Arabidopsis thaliana: one gene and its partners. The protein of the gene in region 4 interacts with the protein of the main gene of each other region in a pairwise test. Each region holds a gene or a part of one and is shown on either strand. Other genes may lie near its edges.

What was found.
Region 1: the proteins of AT2G01070 (region 4) and AT4G12950 interact in a protein complementation assay, tested with the Arabidopsis thaliana proteins (one large-scale study listed by BioGRID).
Region 2: the proteins of AT2G01070 (region 4) and TET2 interact in a protein complementation assay, tested with the Arabidopsis thaliana proteins (one large-scale study listed by BioGRID).
Region 3: the proteins of AT2G01070 (region 4) and AT5G15500 interact in a protein complementation assay, tested with the Arabidopsis thaliana proteins (one large-scale study listed by BioGRID).

Annotation. Positions count from the first base shown.
Region 1 is NC_003075.7:7,574,919-7,577,687, reverse strand, and holds AT4G12950 (Fasciclin-like arabinogalactan family protein), read right to left. Parts: upstream 1,047-2,769; coding exon 516-1,046; downstream 1-515.
Region 2 is NC_003071.7:8,471,571-8,476,827, reverse strand, and holds TET2 (tetraspanin2), read left to right. Parts: upstream 1-1,674; 5' UTR 1,675-1,806; coding exon 1,807-2,000; intron 2,001-2,085; coding exon 2,086-2,392; exon of another isoform or gene 2,393-3,223; intron 3,224-4,123; coding exon 4,124-4,435; 3' UTR 4,436-4,694; downstream 4,695-5,257. Other genes in the region: ACO1 (ACC oxidase 1), read left to right, coding at 4-589. UniProt on the Arabidopsis thaliana protein: May be involved in the regulation of cell differentiation.
Region 3 is NC_003076.8:5,031,086-5,035,480, reverse strand, and holds AT5G15500 (Ankyrin repeat family protein), read left to right. Parts: upstream 1-1,940; 5' UTR 1,941-2,037; coding exon 2,038-2,353; exon of another isoform or gene 2,354-2,632; coding exon 2,633-3,690; 3' UTR 3,691-3,833; downstream 3,834-4,395. Other genes in the region: AT5G15510 (TPX2 (targeting protein for Xklp2) protein family), read right to left, coding at 1-88, 184-276, 389-434, 517-1,361.
Region 4 is NC_003071.7:73,663-78,394, forward strand, and holds AT2G01070 (Lung seven transmembrane receptor family protein), read left to right. Parts: upstream 1-1,857; 5' UTR 1,858-1,933; coding exon 1,934-2,118; intron 2,119-2,195; coding exon 2,196-3,117; intron 3,118-3,217; coding exon 3,218-3,313; intron 3,314-3,482; coding exon 3,483-3,619; coding exon of another isoform or gene 3,620-3,638; exon of another isoform or gene 3,639-3,738; intron 3,739-3,812; coding exon 3,813-3,963; 3' UTR 3,964-4,203; downstream 4,204-4,732. Other genes in the region: AT2G01060 (myb-like HTH transcriptional regulator family protein), read right to left, coding at 1-288, 411-480, 578-635, 721-763, 847-923, 1,123-1,240; AT2G01080 (Late embryogenesis abundant (LEA) hydroxyproline-rich glycoprotein family), read left to right, coding at 4,376-4,732.

The DNA of each region.
Region 1 (2,769 bases), on a different chromosome or scaffold from region 4:
TTGTTTAGTGATTATAGAATGGTAAATGTTTTTTTTTGTAGAGATCTCTTCGTCTATTAATAATGACTCAAAATCTAGTTGACCATTCATGATTCATCTATTACTTTTTTTGAATATTACTTTTCATATATATATATATATATATATATGTTGATAACCTCTCATTGTCGTGGTAAATTTTGGAAAGATGTCTCAGTTATTTATATTGATAATGACTCAAATGATGAGAAGTATCTATCTCCGTGTGTTGTGTGTATAGAGAAGTCGGCATTTTAATGAGTAAAAAACAAGAGAGCATATATGTTCATCGTTAAACCTCTCAATGTATGCAGTCTACGTGTTTAAAAAACAAAAATAAAAAGTTGTACGTTACTAAAAATGACCAAGTCATGAGTACAAGAAAAAAAGGTTTAAGTGTTCATTTAAAAGACTTTCATATTATAGATTAGGGACTTCAGTCTTTTCATATATATATCATAAGGTGAAATGAGCACAATCTATTCATATCACTATGATTAAATGAACCACACAACCGTAACAAGCATAAAGGTGAAGAGCGGCCATTTCGATATAAGCTTAGAGCCGCCGCCGTAAGTTGTGTAATCAAGCGGATATGCAATACGATGGATGGCTATGAAGGAATCCACGTAGATGTCAAGTTCGATGATGAGAACGCCGTCGATAGAAAAAGAAGTAGCAGAATTGTTGGTTACCAGAATGGAGGAGCCGTTGAGAAGAGTCGGTAGTCTCGATCTACTTGGCTTCAAGAGAAGATCTGCAAACTCAAGCCTCTGAGGAACAATGTGGTATGAAGCCAACTTATGTCTATCATCGCTCCCGTTGGCGGAAGAGTTTGGGATGAAGAGGGTAGATGGGATAACCTCGGCGCGGATCCGGTCATTGGTTTCTATGAAAACCGATGACCATTCTTCAAAAGGGGCATGAGCCAATGCATCAATAACATCACGGGCCGTCTCCTCCACCGTGCCAGAGACAACGGCGAAAACTGAAACGGTGGAGAGAAGAAAAAATAGTAGGAGATTCATATCCAAGAGACCAAAAGTGAGAGAAAAGTCCAAGAATGGAAGAAAGGAGTTTTCTTTTGTTCTTGGGAGTTAGGAAATTGTGATATGGCTAGTTGTATCAAGTTAGTATTATATAATTAAAAGCAAAGAGAATTATGTGTAGGAACAAAAGGTGAGTGAAAGTGTGAAGAAAGACTGCACACAAATTTTGAGACCTCTTTAGAAGCTTGAACCGCACAAAAAAAAAGGATTGAGTTCAAATATTTCCTATATACCATAATAGCTTAATATTATGATTTTGATTTGATTAGATAGAGAACAATGTAGCTCAAATGATAATTGGTTATAGAATACATTTGGAACATTTTTAGTTTTTCTTAAGTATCATTGTATCAATGATATCATTAACAATAAAAAATAATCTTAACCAAGAGTAAATATAACATGATTGATATATAAAACACAATTATATATCATACTAGTCAAAGCATCCCATTTTCTTGAAAAAAGCAGGTACCGATGCCTTATGACAAAATTTGTTTCACTCAACTGCACAAAATATTTATTAAATAGAAATAATAATATTAAGAATCACCAAACGATTTAGCATTGGTTTAAAAGAACCTTTACCCTTAACCTTTTAATTAGAGATAAACTTAACTAGAAGAAACTTTACTTTAATAAAGTAGACTGTGACTGAAAAATATAATGAAAGCCAATTATGGGTTTTAAAAGAAATTGTTTTGCTTTAAAACACCTAAAACATATTACATAATTAACTATAACGATTTTAAAAACAAATATTAACCGAACTAAAAAACAAAGCAAAGTCTATACGTAATTATTTAGGATAATGATTGTTTATCCTGAGACTGCCTTGATTGGTGTATAGATTAACATGTAAAAGCTAAGTACGTAAACAGAGGATAGCGTGTACTAGAATGCTCTCCAAACCAAATAACATAATTAGGACATAATTAAACAGAACTAAGGTCTTAAACACCTTCTTGAATTGTTTCGGATACTCCTTTTGTTTTTGGATATTTCGGGTACACATTCGGTTACCTTTTCGTTCGTTTCGTTTAAAGATTCTATAATCCATTTTTTTCACGCTAGACCCGAACCGTCTAGTTTGACCCTGTGACCTGTACACACTTCCAGTTTGGGTTAACATCCAACAGTTTAAAAACTAGAAAAAAAAACACAAAAAATTCACCATTAACATGCTATCCACTGAATCAGTCGGGTTTGAGTTTTAACAAAATCCATTTGATTTTGATATTTTGGAATTAAATATTAGGAATGGTGAGAGAAACAACGGTGATTAGTTATATTGTTTTCGCAATGTTTTATTAGTTTTTTTGTTGATAATCTCATACTATCTAAGTATTTTTTTTATGGTTTTTGTTGGATTTAAAAATTTTAATCACTTTATTTTTATTGTGAAACTTCATATTTTGTTAAACATGGTATGATTATTTTTTATTTTTATATTTATAATACTATATAATTTCTAAAAGTATTAAAAATATTAAATAAATTTTAATCAATTGATCTATGGTCGAATCCGGTTGAACCCAATGACACAGTAACCTAAAAAGTTATCTGGTTCACCATTCGGGTTGGGTTTGAAAAAATTGGTTAAGATATTTTATAATTTTGGTTGGGATTCAGTTCGTTTTTTTATTTGTTCGGTTTAGTATTTTGGTTTCGGTTATCTCAGTATTTCTTTCTTGAATTATTC
Region 2 (5,257 bases), 8.4 Mb from region 4:
CAGCAAGACGATGGATGAATATGTTTGTCAACTGCACAAGTTTGCAGAGAGACTCTCCAAGCTCATGTGTGAGAATCTTGGTCTTGATCAGGAAGACATAATGAATGCCTTTTCTGGTCCAAAAGGTCCAGCTTTTGGAACAAAAGTGGCTAAATACCCAGAATGCCCACGTCCTGAGCTTATGAGAGGGCTGAGAGAACATACGGATGCTGGGGGAATCATATTACTCCTGCAGGATGATCAAGTGCCTGGTCTTGAGTTCTTTAAAGATGGGAAGTGGGTTCCTATACCGCCATCCAAGAACAATACCATTTTTGTCAATACCGGTGATCAACTAGAGATACTGAGTAATGGGAGGTACAAGAGTGTTGTTCACCGTGTAATGACAGTGAAGCATGGAAGTAGACTGTCGATTGCTACGTTTTACAATCCGGCTGGTGATGCCATAATATCTCCAGCTCCAAAGCTCTTGTATCCAAGTGGCTACCGTTTTCAAGACTACCTAAAGCTTTATTCAACTACCAAGTTTGGAGACAAAGGCCCCAGACTTGAGACCATGAAGAAAATGGGAAATGCGGATTCAGCCTAGGATGCATCTGGAATTTGACGCTTCTGTACTCACATCATAAAAACTTTGTCTTCTTCTTGTGTTTCCTTATAATTTAAATAACCAGCCATGTCAGAATCTTGCTGATTCAGCTATACTACTTCACTCTTCTTTCTTCACTTCCACTTGAAAAGTTCCAAAGCCAAACTGAAGCAGTCTCATCAAGCTCTGTGTCGAACTTGAGATTAGACAAAGAGCTTGTAATCTAAGCTCTAAGATTGACAGTCAATTTCATGATTTATAAGATGTAATTCAACTCTTAACGTAATCCACAACTCCGCCATCATCTCTTTCCATATTCTCTCTGATTTGACTCATTTCCTTCCCAATTCCTAGAATCAAACAAATAGCATTTCTATATCAGCATCTAAAACTGAAAGCTAAGTGTGTATTGACTCAAAATTCTTCTCCAATCGCAATAAAATCGAGATGAGAAAAATTCATCCATATGTTTTGGTTCACACATTCTATCGAGCAGCTTGTGTGCAATCCCAATCCTCTGAACCAAAACAAAAGCTTATCTCTTGACCATTACCCGACATTTCACTCATCAGCCAACGACAAATCCTGCTCCGAAACCTCTAATGCTTGGAAAAGAAGAAAATTCCGATTTCCGAACAATGGAACTTACTCCATTTTGCATTCTCTGTCGAAAGTAACATACGTTCAATGCAAATGACCCAAAGTCGTCGGTGCCACGTGGATAGTTCTCACTGGTTGATGCATTCGGTAACTCGCAGAATGGAAGAATATTAACACAAAAGGCATCTCGCGTATCCACGTGTCCCGTTCAAGATTCCAAATTCTAAACCAAAAGCCGGTCCGACCAGATTAACAAGTTCTCTTTATTACATCACAACCCAAAACTTGTTCAAAACCTAACTTTTCATTGCTAAACATATTTTATTCTGACATTCACATGTTAACTTTAATCCAATATCTAATTCTTTTTTCTTAAAACCACCGTTGTCGAAAAATCCAAATCAGCAAAATCAGTGATTAACCGGACCGGACCAAACCGAACATCGTTTTCTGTAAATAGCAGTAACTGGTTTCACACATCCCATCATCTCTAACCACCGACCTCATAAGTCATTAAGACAAAAACAGAGACACTCCTCTCACTCTCATTATTTCATTTTCTTTCCATAAAAAGCACGAATCTTCAAGAACAAAGAGAGAGAGAGAGAGAAAATTTAATGGCGTTAGCGAATAACTTAACGGCGATACTCAACTTACTAGCGTTACTCTGTTCCATACCAATAACGGCGTCAGGTATATGGCTAGCTTCAAAGCCAGACAACGAGTGTGTCAATCTCCTCCGTTGGCCCGTTGTCGTCCTCGGCGTTCTCATCCTCGTCGTCTCCGCCACAGGCTTCATCGGCGCCTACAAGTAAGAATCAAAGAACTTCAAGACTTTGAAAACATAGACACAAATTGAATCATAAAGATGTAAACTTTGAGCTCTCATATTTCAGGTACAAGGAAACTCTACTGGCGGTTTACTTGTGCTGTATGGCGATATTGATCGGACTTTTGCTGGTGGTTCTTATATTTGCATTCGTCGTGACCCGGCCCGATGGATCGTATCGGGTTCCGGGTAGAGGTTATAAAGAGTATAGGCTTGAAGGGTTCTCGAATTGGCTTAAGGAGAACGTTGTGGATTCCAAGAACTGGGGAAGGCTAAGGGCTTGTTTGGCTGATACTAATGTTTGTCCTAAACTCAACCAAGAATTCATCACCGCCGATCAGTTCTTCTCCTCCTCTAAGATCACTCCTCTCCAGGCATGTTCTTTCTTCTTTTATTCTCTTTTATAAAAAGAACCCCGAAATTTCTAGTTTCCGGTTTAGGTTTGGTTTAGAGGTAAATCTAGACTAAATATCGGTTATGCAACTATGCCAACGAATCATTGTGGGTTTAATTAGATATTATTAGATGATTAATGGAGATAAGATACGAAGTAAAGAGAATGTTTTGTAAAATCTCTAGATTATGTGAGACCTACGGTTTGTTCTTGCCATAGAAAGATAGGTTATTTTTTCTTTCAAAAAGTAAAGTATGTGGTTTTAAATCAAAAAGTTAAAAAATTTCTCTTTAGCTTTTGTGAAGATGTCCAAAAGAGAATTGTTCTTATTCTCTATATTCTTTTTTTTTGTTTTGCAGCTTTAAGTTATTTCGTTTTGGATTTCCTCATCTTTGAAAAAACTAAAAAAATATTTTCTGACTTAATTAATCTTATGTTTTCTAGTGTTGGAGAGAAACCTACATTAGCTTTCTTAACGTTTCGCAGTTAGTGCCATTTTGTGGTAAAACTCATAGATTAGGCATATGTAATCACCATTATTGAACACATATTTATTCCTAGTAGACTGGTGTAGAAGTTGCTGGAGACCAAGTCCACAAGATTATATAGTAAGATAGTCAGATTTCAAAATTATACACTATCATAAGGACCCACCCATGCACCCACAATATGGTACATGATAAACTATGTTTTATCTGTGTATTAATTATATTTTTCCTTTGTCACTATCTCACTCATAAAATTCAATGATCCCATTCACTTTAGATAGTGTTTTTCGTGATCACAACTCAAACTTGACAAAATTTCCTACTTTTTCTATTTAATTTTATTAATTAAAATCACTCTTAAAATTCATTGTCATGTCTTTTATGTCTTTTAAGCTTTAAACATGGAGAGATTAAGGGTGATTTAAATAATTTTATTCCTAAAACTTCTATAGCAAGTTGTCATCCTAGTCCATTGTCACTGTAACAAGATTGGAACCACTAATAATTAAATAAGCCTAGATGCTGAGGTCTCGACTGAATTTTAAATCTTTTAGTCATTAGACATTATTAAATATTGGACCAATGATTTGATTCAATAATTACGATCACAAGTCTTTGTCTCCATCATGAAACATAATAGATAATTATATCCCTCCCATGTTGCCCCACTCACATTATAATTTTTCTTATTGGATAAATTAGGACTCAAGAAAAAATAAGTTTATTTCTAAGAAAGAGTTATACAATTTCTCGTCCTCGAGACAGAACCAAAATTTACTCATAAGTAAAAGAAGATTATTCTGTGATAAGATTCAACATGTTTTTTCATTTTTTTTATGTACTTTCATACCAAGCAAGCAATTTTTTAGGTTTCTTGTAGTCGTTTTATTTTTATAGCTTTCAGACTAAAACTAGTGTTTCATTGTTTTAGGTCTTGACTCTTGAACTCTTGATTGTTTGTGTTTGCCTTTAGTATATACTTTTTTTTTCTCCACATGAACCCATAATATTAACCATGTTAAGCAAAATGAAATTTTTGTTGTAAACACAAAGGGCAGACGCAAATGGTAGCGTTTGTGTTTACAATGTGTAAATATTTTTTACCAATAAAAAAAAAGTGTAAATATCTTTAAGACTATGATTATCATATTTGAAAACATGGTTAAGCATATATTTGGTCAAATCTAATTATGACAATTTCTTGAACATTTGTTGTTTTACAGTCCGGCTGCTGCAAACCACCAACCGCATGTGGCTACAACTTTGTGAACCCAACACTGTGGCTAAATCCAACCAATATGGCTGCAGACGCAGACTGTTACTTATGGAGCAATGACCAAAGCCAGCTTTGTTACAATTGCAACTCATGCAAAGCTGGTTTATTGGGAAACCTTAGAAAAGAATGGCGTAAAGCAAATCTCATACTTATCATCACAGTCGTTGTTCTCATATGGGTTTATGTTATTGCTTGTAGCGCGTTTAGGAATGCTCAGACTGAGGATCTCTTCCGCAAATACAAACAAGGTTGGGTCTAAAATGTGTTTGTGTCTATAAATTTGTTTGTAGTTTGTTGAGATTGGAGTTTTCGGAAATAGCTCGTCATATTATGATTTCTTTGTGTGTGGAAAAGGTTTTTTTCTTTTTATGGATTTTGTTTCTATGTTTATCAGTTTATGTTCGACAAAATGGCACTTATCTATGTAAACAAACAACTGACCCTAATTGGAAAACTGATTGTTGTCATAGAGTTTTCTCAGTTTCTTCTATTAAGAAAAACTTAACCGTTGGTTAAAACGTAATTATCAACAAAGACTTCTCTTTTGGTCTGTGACGTTGATTCCAACGATAAGAACAAAACCTAATCTTTGTTTTCTTTTGTCAACAATAGTACTATCACCTTTGTTCTTAACTATTTTTTTGGGAACTTAAAATTGACAACACCGGAATTAAAATGTTTAATACTATCAAAATTATATGAAACTAAGCTGTCTTTTAGCTATAGTTTAATTCATTTCTGACCTCTAAAATAATATTATCCGGAGATTATTGTAGTTTCGTAACGTGGTTGATGAAACTACTAGGTGTTTTCTTAATTAGACCACGATTTTAACATTACGTTACACTAATACTCTATTGCATTTTTGGTAGTTTTCATAACAATGATTCCATGCGGCTTAGTCAAACCGAAATCATATTATTTGTAAATTCAATTCTGATATAATTTTTCTATTTTGTACCAAACGTAAACCGAAACATAACCGAAACCGAACCAAAACTTCATTTGCGTAATGTAGTTTCCTACGTTGTTGTATCTATAAATAGTTTGTTTGTCCAGCATCCATTTCATAATTCCTCAT
Region 3 (4,395 bases), on a different chromosome or scaffold from region 4:
GAGCAATGGGGATTCTCATCTTTTCTTCCTCCATTGTTATTTCGTGTATCTTTTTTGCTAACTCTTCCTCTTTCACTTTACCTCTTTGCTGCAGAGAGACAAAAGACCAACCAACTGTCATGACTCAATTTCCACCATAAAATTCGAAATTTTTCTTTAGTTTTAATCTAAAGAAACTCATACCTCAGTTCTAAGCTTAAACGGCTTCAATGAAGTGACCTTAACCTGCTTCTTCTTTGATCTTCTACTTCCCATTGTAGTCGATGACTCCATGCTCTGCCATAAACAGAAATATCAAAATGATTATTAAACTATACTGACATACTAAGCAAGACAGACAACCATTAAACAGCTAAGAAAATTCAGATGCTGCATGCAGGACACTTACATTTCTTCTACTTCTCCTGCCAGCATTTGAACTTCCACTCAAAACACTGAAACATCACAATATCAAACTATTCAGAACAAGACAAGTTCATAATTTCAGTGAGATCTCTTAGTCAACAACAAACTAACCTGCCACGGGTGCTGTCCCAGGACGAAGAAATCGAAGCATTGGGGTCTAAACCCAGATTCTTAGCTGTTAAGACCATTTCAGATGGACAAAACGAAGAACTCCATGGGTTTTTCTCTTTCTCACCCTCCAAGAATTCCAATTTCACAGGTTTCTTCGTATCCTCTTCGGTTTGATTCTCTTCTATCTTGTTGGCAGTCTTTGAATTACTAAAGCAAGTGAGTTTCTCAAATGCTTCTACAAGATTCATCACTTTACCAGATACAGGCACACTTTGCCGTGCTTCTTCCACCACCTTAGCTCTTGATCTCTTCATTGTGGAAACGCCTGTTTTCTCCGGTTCTCCAGATTCTTTTCCTTCTAGTTCATCGCCATTTCCGAGATTACAGCATTCCTCCAAAGCTTCCTTATCCTCCTCTGATTCAATTCGATTTTTGAAGAACTCCTCTTGCGAAGCACGCAGAGTTTCATATGCAACACAAACACACTTCATGTTCCCCTTCTTCCTCTCTCCGCATTTACAATCTATCTCAGCTGCCTTGGATTCTGTAATCGCTGGCTCCTTCTTCCCTTTCCTCGAATTCTTCTTCGCCACCACAACAAACTTCCTCTCTCTGATCCGATTCCGGGGAGAGAAAACCGCCTGGGTAGGTTTAGGGCTCGGACTCGGATTCTTCTGCGCTGATTTCTTCGCAGATTTCATGAGCGGTGATTTAGAAGGACTCGCTTGTGAAATGTTAGGGTTTGCATTCTCCGATGATCTGGAAATCTTTTGATTGGACTGAAACTTGCTCCGATCCTTCACCGGAGTCCCTGCTTTCCCATTCTTCAATGTCAACGACTCCATCGAAGATAACAGAATCTGGAATCAAGAGAGTAACACGAACAGTAATCGATCTAGATTTGAGAATCTCTCCAACAAAAAAAAAATTGATCGGAGGTGAAGAATTAGGGTTTGTTCTTGCTATGGAGTATTGTAAATCGAATAAGAAGATAGATTTGGGGGAAAAATGTGACCGTTGCGGCGCTCTTTGGACGCTCTCTAATAACGGCTAGTCTTTTTGGTGCTTTTTTAATAAATAAACTTAGATTAGTAATAAATAATTATTTTCCTAATCTTGTCCGTTAGATTGTCAAATTAATGATTATGATGATTTTAATCCACGTTTAATGCCACGTCACATCCGAATTTCAACACTTTAGCAGCGAGTTATTTTGTACAATCTTAGCCATTAGATCAAATAGATGCTGGAGCCGATATGATCCACGTTGTACTCCATGTCACATCAAATTTTCAGACAATAATTCTTATTTATCTAATATCAACCGTTGGATTAAATGATCAGATACTGACGTGTCCACGTATACTGCCACGTCACCTATAATTTCCCACTCTTTTCCTTTTTTTGGGAACTTCCTTCATTCACAAACGAGTTATCATTTCGTAGCCAATTAAGTTTCATCATCATATTTAATCACCAAAAATATAATTCGCATCGTCGTTCTGTTCTCTTGAGTCACTAATGGACCAAAGATCATTAGAAGCTGCTGCTAAATCTGGAAACATCGATCTACTATACGAACTAATCCATGAAGATCCATACGTTCTTGATAAAACCGACCACGTGCCCTTCGTTAATACTCCTCTCCATGTGGCAGCCGTCAATGGAAAAACAGAGTTTGCCATGGAAATGATGAACTTGAAACCATCTTTTGCTCGGAAACTTAACGCCGACGGACTTACACCGTTACACCTCGCCGTGGAACACGGTCACTTCTGGTTAGTACTTGAAGTAGTTAAGGTTGATCCAAGTCTTGTTCGTATTAAAGGGAGACATGGTACGTACACTCACTTATTTTGTTGAACCCTTAATTATGTTTCTTAGTTTTTTCCAAAAGCTTTAGCTCTAATCAATCCGAACTAATGTTATAATATGTATCTAGTAAATTCAAATCTTGGAGATAGTATTGAAGTAGGACGAACAGTCCATTGAATACTAGTTTGAATTCAGTCTATTGTTGCTTTTGACTAGTCATTATGTCGATATTGTATGGTCAGATCATGAACTAGATTGGTTATACCAGGAGTGTTTAATTCATTTTTCTTGTCCAAAAAAGGTATGACGCCATTGCTAGTTGCGGTAAGTAGAAAGAAGATTGATCTGATGTCAGAATTCTTCTTGGGTTGTCCCGAAAGCATTGTGGACGCAAATGTGAACGGAGAAAACGCTCTTCACATCGCCGTGAATAACTACGACCAAAGAGAAGGATTAAGCGTTCTTAAAGTTCTCATGGGATGGATCTTAAGATTGTGTCAAAAAGATGCAGAGTGGATCGAGACAAGAGTCATAAACCGAAGAGACAAAGACGGTAACACGCCTTTACATCTCGCGGCGTACGAGATCAATCGTCAAGCTATGAAATTGTTGTTAGAGAGCTCCAAGATTAACGTCAACATTGAGAACAAGAACGGTTTAACCGTGTTCGACATTGCTGTGTTACACAATAACAGAGAGATAGAGAGAATGGTTAAGAGACATGGTGGAAAACGTTCGGTTTCTCTTGTCAAGATTAAGACAACATCGGATATACTCGCGTCGCAGCTTTCTTGGAGAGAATCGAGACGGACGAAGAAGATTCGGTTTTATTCTTGGATCTCTGAAGAGAGAAGAAACGCTCTTTTAGTGGTCGCAACTCTCATCGTCACAGCTACATATCAGACGGTTCTCCAACCTCCCGGAGGCGTGTCTGATGGCGGTGGTCAAAAGAGTGGAACAAGCGGTCCGAAAGCGGGTTCAGTGGTTATGGACGAGGTCTACTTTATCTGGTTATGGTTGTGGAACAGTGCGGGGTTCTGCTTTGCGATTGAGATGATGATACGTTTGTTGAGTTTAGGACAAGAGAGTATGTTTTGGTATTACCCTCTGTTCGTTCCTATGGTCTTGGCTTACTCTGTTGCAGGGGATGTGATCAAGCCGAACGCAAGAGCGTACACGATCGCAGGTGTGGGTGCGATCGTGGTTCTTATAATTTGGGGATTGGTAGTTTGGTTTTGGGAATGGGTGCAGTCTAAGAGAACCAAGCAACGTGGACCCAAGAGTGGATTGGTTTGGGAAGGTTTCACTACGTTGGATCAAGCTAGAGGTGTTGCGCCTAATCGGTATGTGATTAGGTAATCTTAATTTCCTCTTGTTATTTTATTGTTGCTTTTGTATTTTTATTCTATAATGTGTAAAATCTCTACTCGGGGTAAACCTATTTACATGAAATATCTGTTTATTATTTGCTTCTAATATTTACTCTACGTGATATGATGTGCATAAAAAGACTACATGATTGACAAGAGTATACGTTGCTAGAAAGTGGAAGGTGTCGTATGACGCATTCTAATTCGAATGTAAATTAGTAAAATAATTACTGAATCTACAAAAATCATGATTTTGAGGTTTTATGGTCACAGTTAAAGTAACATGGCAAACTTGTATACGAATCAAAAAAATATTGAACCATGTTATATTTGAATTCTTTTTCAATATATTTGGTTTCGATTTATATTTTTCTAAAACTATATATAGCTTTAATATTAAAATTTCAACCGCACTCTTCTTTTTATTAGTTATTTATATAATTATGCAAATATAGCTTGAGAAGCACTTCAAAAAGTGTGACTGAGTTTTTAAGCAAAGTGCAGTTAGTCTTTTGTCTGAAGTTTGTCCTGCAGACCTCACCACACAATCACTTAAGTACTCATATATACAAAATGGTTTTATAATAATAGATTAACATGTACATTATTGAAACTAAACACCAAACTTTGGGAAGTATATTATTACTATGAATGGACATTGACGCACAGAAAAGGATTCAAACCAATAATGTAT
Region 4 (4,732 bases):
TGTGCTCTCATCTGGAGACCCAATGTTACACCCTGAGTCTGGTGTTAAAGGCTCCCGGTAAGATGAGAGAGACTCGTCAACTGAGAGACTTTTGTCTGGTCCACAGTCCTTGCCAGACTTGTCTTGAAGAGGAGACTCAGATGTTGGGGCAGGGGTTGCAGGATCTGAATCGCCCGTTACTGGGGCTGAGGGTTCGCCGAGTACTCCACTGAGTCGTTGTTGCTCTTCAATTATCTTCTTCAAGTACTTTCCTTGTGCTTCTATCCGTAGTTGCAGCTGTCTTTGCACCTAAGAAAAAATCACATCAAAGAATAATGTCATATGTAATGCAAAATTCAGTGCTACACTGAAAATCCTACTAATTGTTTCGTTGTTGCTTGTCTTTCTTAAGTAGGAATGGTGAAGCATACTTCTAGTTGCTCGTGTAATCGTTTCTGAACTTCCATCTGCAACTTGAGGGCTTCAGTTATCTGCATTCCCCTGTAATCTCGAAACGATATTGATCACTTAATCTGCGGCGCGAGGTAATATATATATAGCATCACAAATCAAGCTCAAAGAGGGAAATTTCACGTACGACGAGCCGTCCAACCCAGAGAGCATATCTCCAGATTCTTTCTTATCAGTTTTTTTCCCTGAAAATTGAAAAAACCAGTTTTCAGGTATATAGGAAACTGGTAGAATGAGAAAGAAGATGAAGAAAATCAATGTCCACACTACCTTCAGAAGACGAATCTGGAAGATACTTTGCAAGTCGATATTTCTGACTCAAAATACACAAATGCAAAAATCAGCAAGGGTAAGAGAAAGAGAGACGAGACAAGATGCCACACAGTTTGAGAATACCTGTAAGTGACTCTTGACATGATATATAGTTAAGCCTTGTACACCCATCACTCTAAGAACGCCTTTGGGTGTAGCTCCTTTGGAAATCAAAGGAAGAAAAATGTTTAGGAACCCTAAGCAAACAGACGATAGGCTTTCCCTCTCATGGATAGTAGTAAAGCATACAAGAAGAGCAATTTGATTATATTGGTGTGCATATTATTACCACAGATATTGATGAGGAAAACATGAGTTACTAAATTTACCATAGACTATACAAGAAAAAAGGAAACTTACTATCAGGGCCACCAAGTTGAGCAACGGCATCAACGAAGCGTTCATGTAGCTCATGCGTCCAACGCAGACGTTGTTTGGATGCATGACTAGAATTGGGGCCTCCGTTGTCTGCTTCCATCAGGGCTAAGATATAAACACGATAAAGGGAAAGTAATGAGTAGTGGCAAAGCTAGGAAATGATAACATATGAGGACTGGCCAGAGAGAAAGAGATAGAAATGGAAACAAGGAAGACGAAATAGCGCCCAGAATTAGCTAGTAAAAACAGTCCAAGTCAAGTTTAAGACTTGCTCCGGCAGATCCACCACAGGACACCAAAATCAGAGACATGTTCACTAAAATCGGAGGAATTTGTCGCCGAGAAAGCAAAAAGAAAACACAATCCAAGGTTATGGAATCTACGAACCTGTGGGTGGTGGATCTATACACGACGCCCCTCCATTTTCGGAACTTGCTCTTCTCCAAGCTAAATCTTATCTGAAATAGAAGATATTGTGTTACAGACTAGTTTACTGAGTCCGGTGGGTTACAGGGCGGGCGGCGATGGAGCAGAGTCCTCCTCAAAAAAATTCCAGTCTTCTTCTTATCGCTCGATCGACGAATTCCAGGCAGTGGCATTGACTATTGCTGCATTTCTTTCTGGGTAAGCCGGGCCTCTCGGTATAGGCCCAAACCATTCTAAGGCCCAAACCATTATATTAAGTTGGTTGGTCCACCAAAGTCAGCAGCAGCTAGAACAAGAGCGACTCTGCAGCTGCTCTTCTCCCGCTTCCTTCCTGTTAGTTAGCCTCAGAGATCCTCGTTCCCCGATAATGGATTTGGGAAAACTGATCCAGCTGTCTGCGCTGCTGTGCCCATTTCTTCTATCATTACACTTTAGAATCGCTGGGGCCTCCGCCCACATCTACTCTTCCCAGCCCTTCCACGATGTCGGTAATTCTCTCCTCCTCTACGGTGGCAGCGAGGGCATCTTCGCCTCTTCCCGATCTTTAATCAGGTATATTCTATGGATTACATTTTCAACTCTTTTGATGCTCTCTACTCTACTCTACTCATCCTCCCTCCTCACTGCAGGTTTGAGAACATCACTCTCTGGAGGACAATTACCGGTAAGGGCCACCGCAGCAATGGGTTAGTTCAAGCAGTGATCTTTGAAGCCTCCGATCGTAACAATATCGGTGGTTCAGCTTACGGAGGCCAAAGATCTATTTGCTGCACTCCAGATCTGGCCAAGCTTCAAGGCTGTAAGCAGGGTGAGATCATTAGGATTCCTTCTCCACATGACCCTCAATGGCCTATCCTCTTACCTGTCCGCTTTAAAGGAAAACGCTCGTCTGCTAAGATGGCAGACACTGAGATTCTTATCACCAAGACTGGAATCTATAATCTCTTATTCATATCTTGTGATCCACAACTTAAGGGCCTCAAAATGACCGGAAAGACTGTTTGGAAAAATCCCGACGGCTATCTTCCTGGTAGGATGGCTCCACTCGTGAATTTCTATGTCTATATGTCTCTCGCTTATTTGTTGCTCAGTGCCGTCTGGTTCTTCCAGTATTTGAGGTTCCGGATGGATATATTGCCACTTCAACATTGCATTACTGCCGTCATTCTTCTAGGATTGCTTGAGATGCTCTTTTGGTACTTGGATTATGCTAATTTTAATCACACGGGGATGAGGCCTTTAGCCCTTACTACATGGGTTGTTACCATTGGTGCCTTGAGAAAGACTGTTTCCCGCATTCTCATTCTCTGTGTTTCCATGGGATTTGGGGTTGTCAAATCTACTCTTGGTGGTCTCACTTCTAAAGTCCTCCTTGTTGGAGTTACTTACTTCATAGCTTCTGAGATCCTTGATATTGCTGAGCACGTTGGCATCATTGACGATATGTCCGGAAGATCAAAACTTTTTCTTGTCCTTCCTGACGCCTTCCTCGATGCATTTCTCATATTGTGGATATTTACCTCTCTTTCGAAAACACTGGAACAGTTACAGGTATCTCTTTCTTTCTAAATATAGCCATCAGACTCTGTAAGTTGTAAGGGTTTTGAGGCAAGATTCATCAGACCAGCTATAAAATTCTTTATTACTGCAGATGAAAAGGACCTCGGTGAAGCTGGAAATTTACCGCAAGTTCTCAAATGCACTCGCTGTGATGGTTGTTGCCTCTGTTGCGTGGATAGTGTATGAGGTACCATCCTGTCAAGCCTGATTTGATGCTGATTTAGTAAACTCAAATCTTACCTCTAGGAAACAAACTGCTCAACTAAAACTGGCTTTGTTTCAAGCTAGGAAAAAAGAAGCTCCTTCTTTCTTGGAATATACCCAGCTTGCTTGCCTGATGATTTGTCCCCGTGCAGGTGTATTTCAAAGCAACAGATCCATTCAATGAACGATGGCAGACTGCTTGGACTATAACTGCCTTCTGGGATGTTATCGCATTCTTGTTGCTATGTATTATTTGCTATCTCTGGACCCCCTCGCAGAACTCCCAAAGGTATGTTACATCAACTTAAAAGGTTTTGATACCTCTCGGGCATACCAACAAATAAGCATGGTTTTGTGGAAACGGTTTCAGCTGAGCATGTTGTGGGAAGTCTTGGCTACATGCTAGTGGTTCTTATGTAGTGGTCCAATTTTGGTGTTCCTGGGTGTGATAGGGATGCTAATATGAAACTAATGATGGACAGATATGCATATTCGGGAGACGTGGATGAAGAAAACGAGGAAGCTCAATCTCTGACAGGGGGGAAGCAAGATGGTGATATTAGCTTAGTTAAGCAAGAGAAGAATGCGGAGTCGGACAGGGAAGAAGATGTTGAAGAAGATAAAAGAGAGTGAGGAGAGTCAGTATAGAAACGACGTGGCATCTGTGTTTGATCAAGAGTTGACGAAAATATAAATATCAGCAAGAGGTCAGCTATATAGCACAAAGCAACGACGTAATACATATATATGATGTAACTAAAGGATAGTAACTGTGTGTTTGTATTTGTTTGTTTTTTTAATATCAGATCCAACATTTTTTGAGTCATCTCTAACCCTTGTCTGAGTGTGAGATTTGCCTAAAATTGCTGTAAATTACATTATTGATATTTTTATTGGTGGTTAAAATTGTGAAACATTAATTTGTCAATAATACTAGAGTCCAGACACGGAAACAGGGTCTCTCTCTCTTGTTGTGTATAATTTCAACACCGCTATTACAGAAGAAGAGTGAAAAGGGAGAGGGAGCTTCCTGCTTTCACTTACTATGCCTCCTCCTCCTTCTAGTTCTAGAGCAGGTCTCAACGGCGATCCGATTGCTGCTCAGAACCAGCAGCCGTATTACCGGAGCTACTCATCGTCGTCGTCGGCGTCGCTGAAGGGATGCTGCTGCTGCTTGTTCTTGCTGTTCGCGTTCCTGGCGCTGCTGGTACTGGCGGTGGTGCTCATCGTAATACTGGCGGTGAAGCCGAAGAAGCCGCAGTTCGATCTGCAGCAAGTGGCAGTGGTGTACATGGGGATCTCCAACCCAAGCGCTGTTCTGGATCCAACCACCGCCTCCCTCTCCCTCACCATCCGGATGCTCTTCACCGCCGTCAACCCAAACAAGGTCGGAATCAGGTAC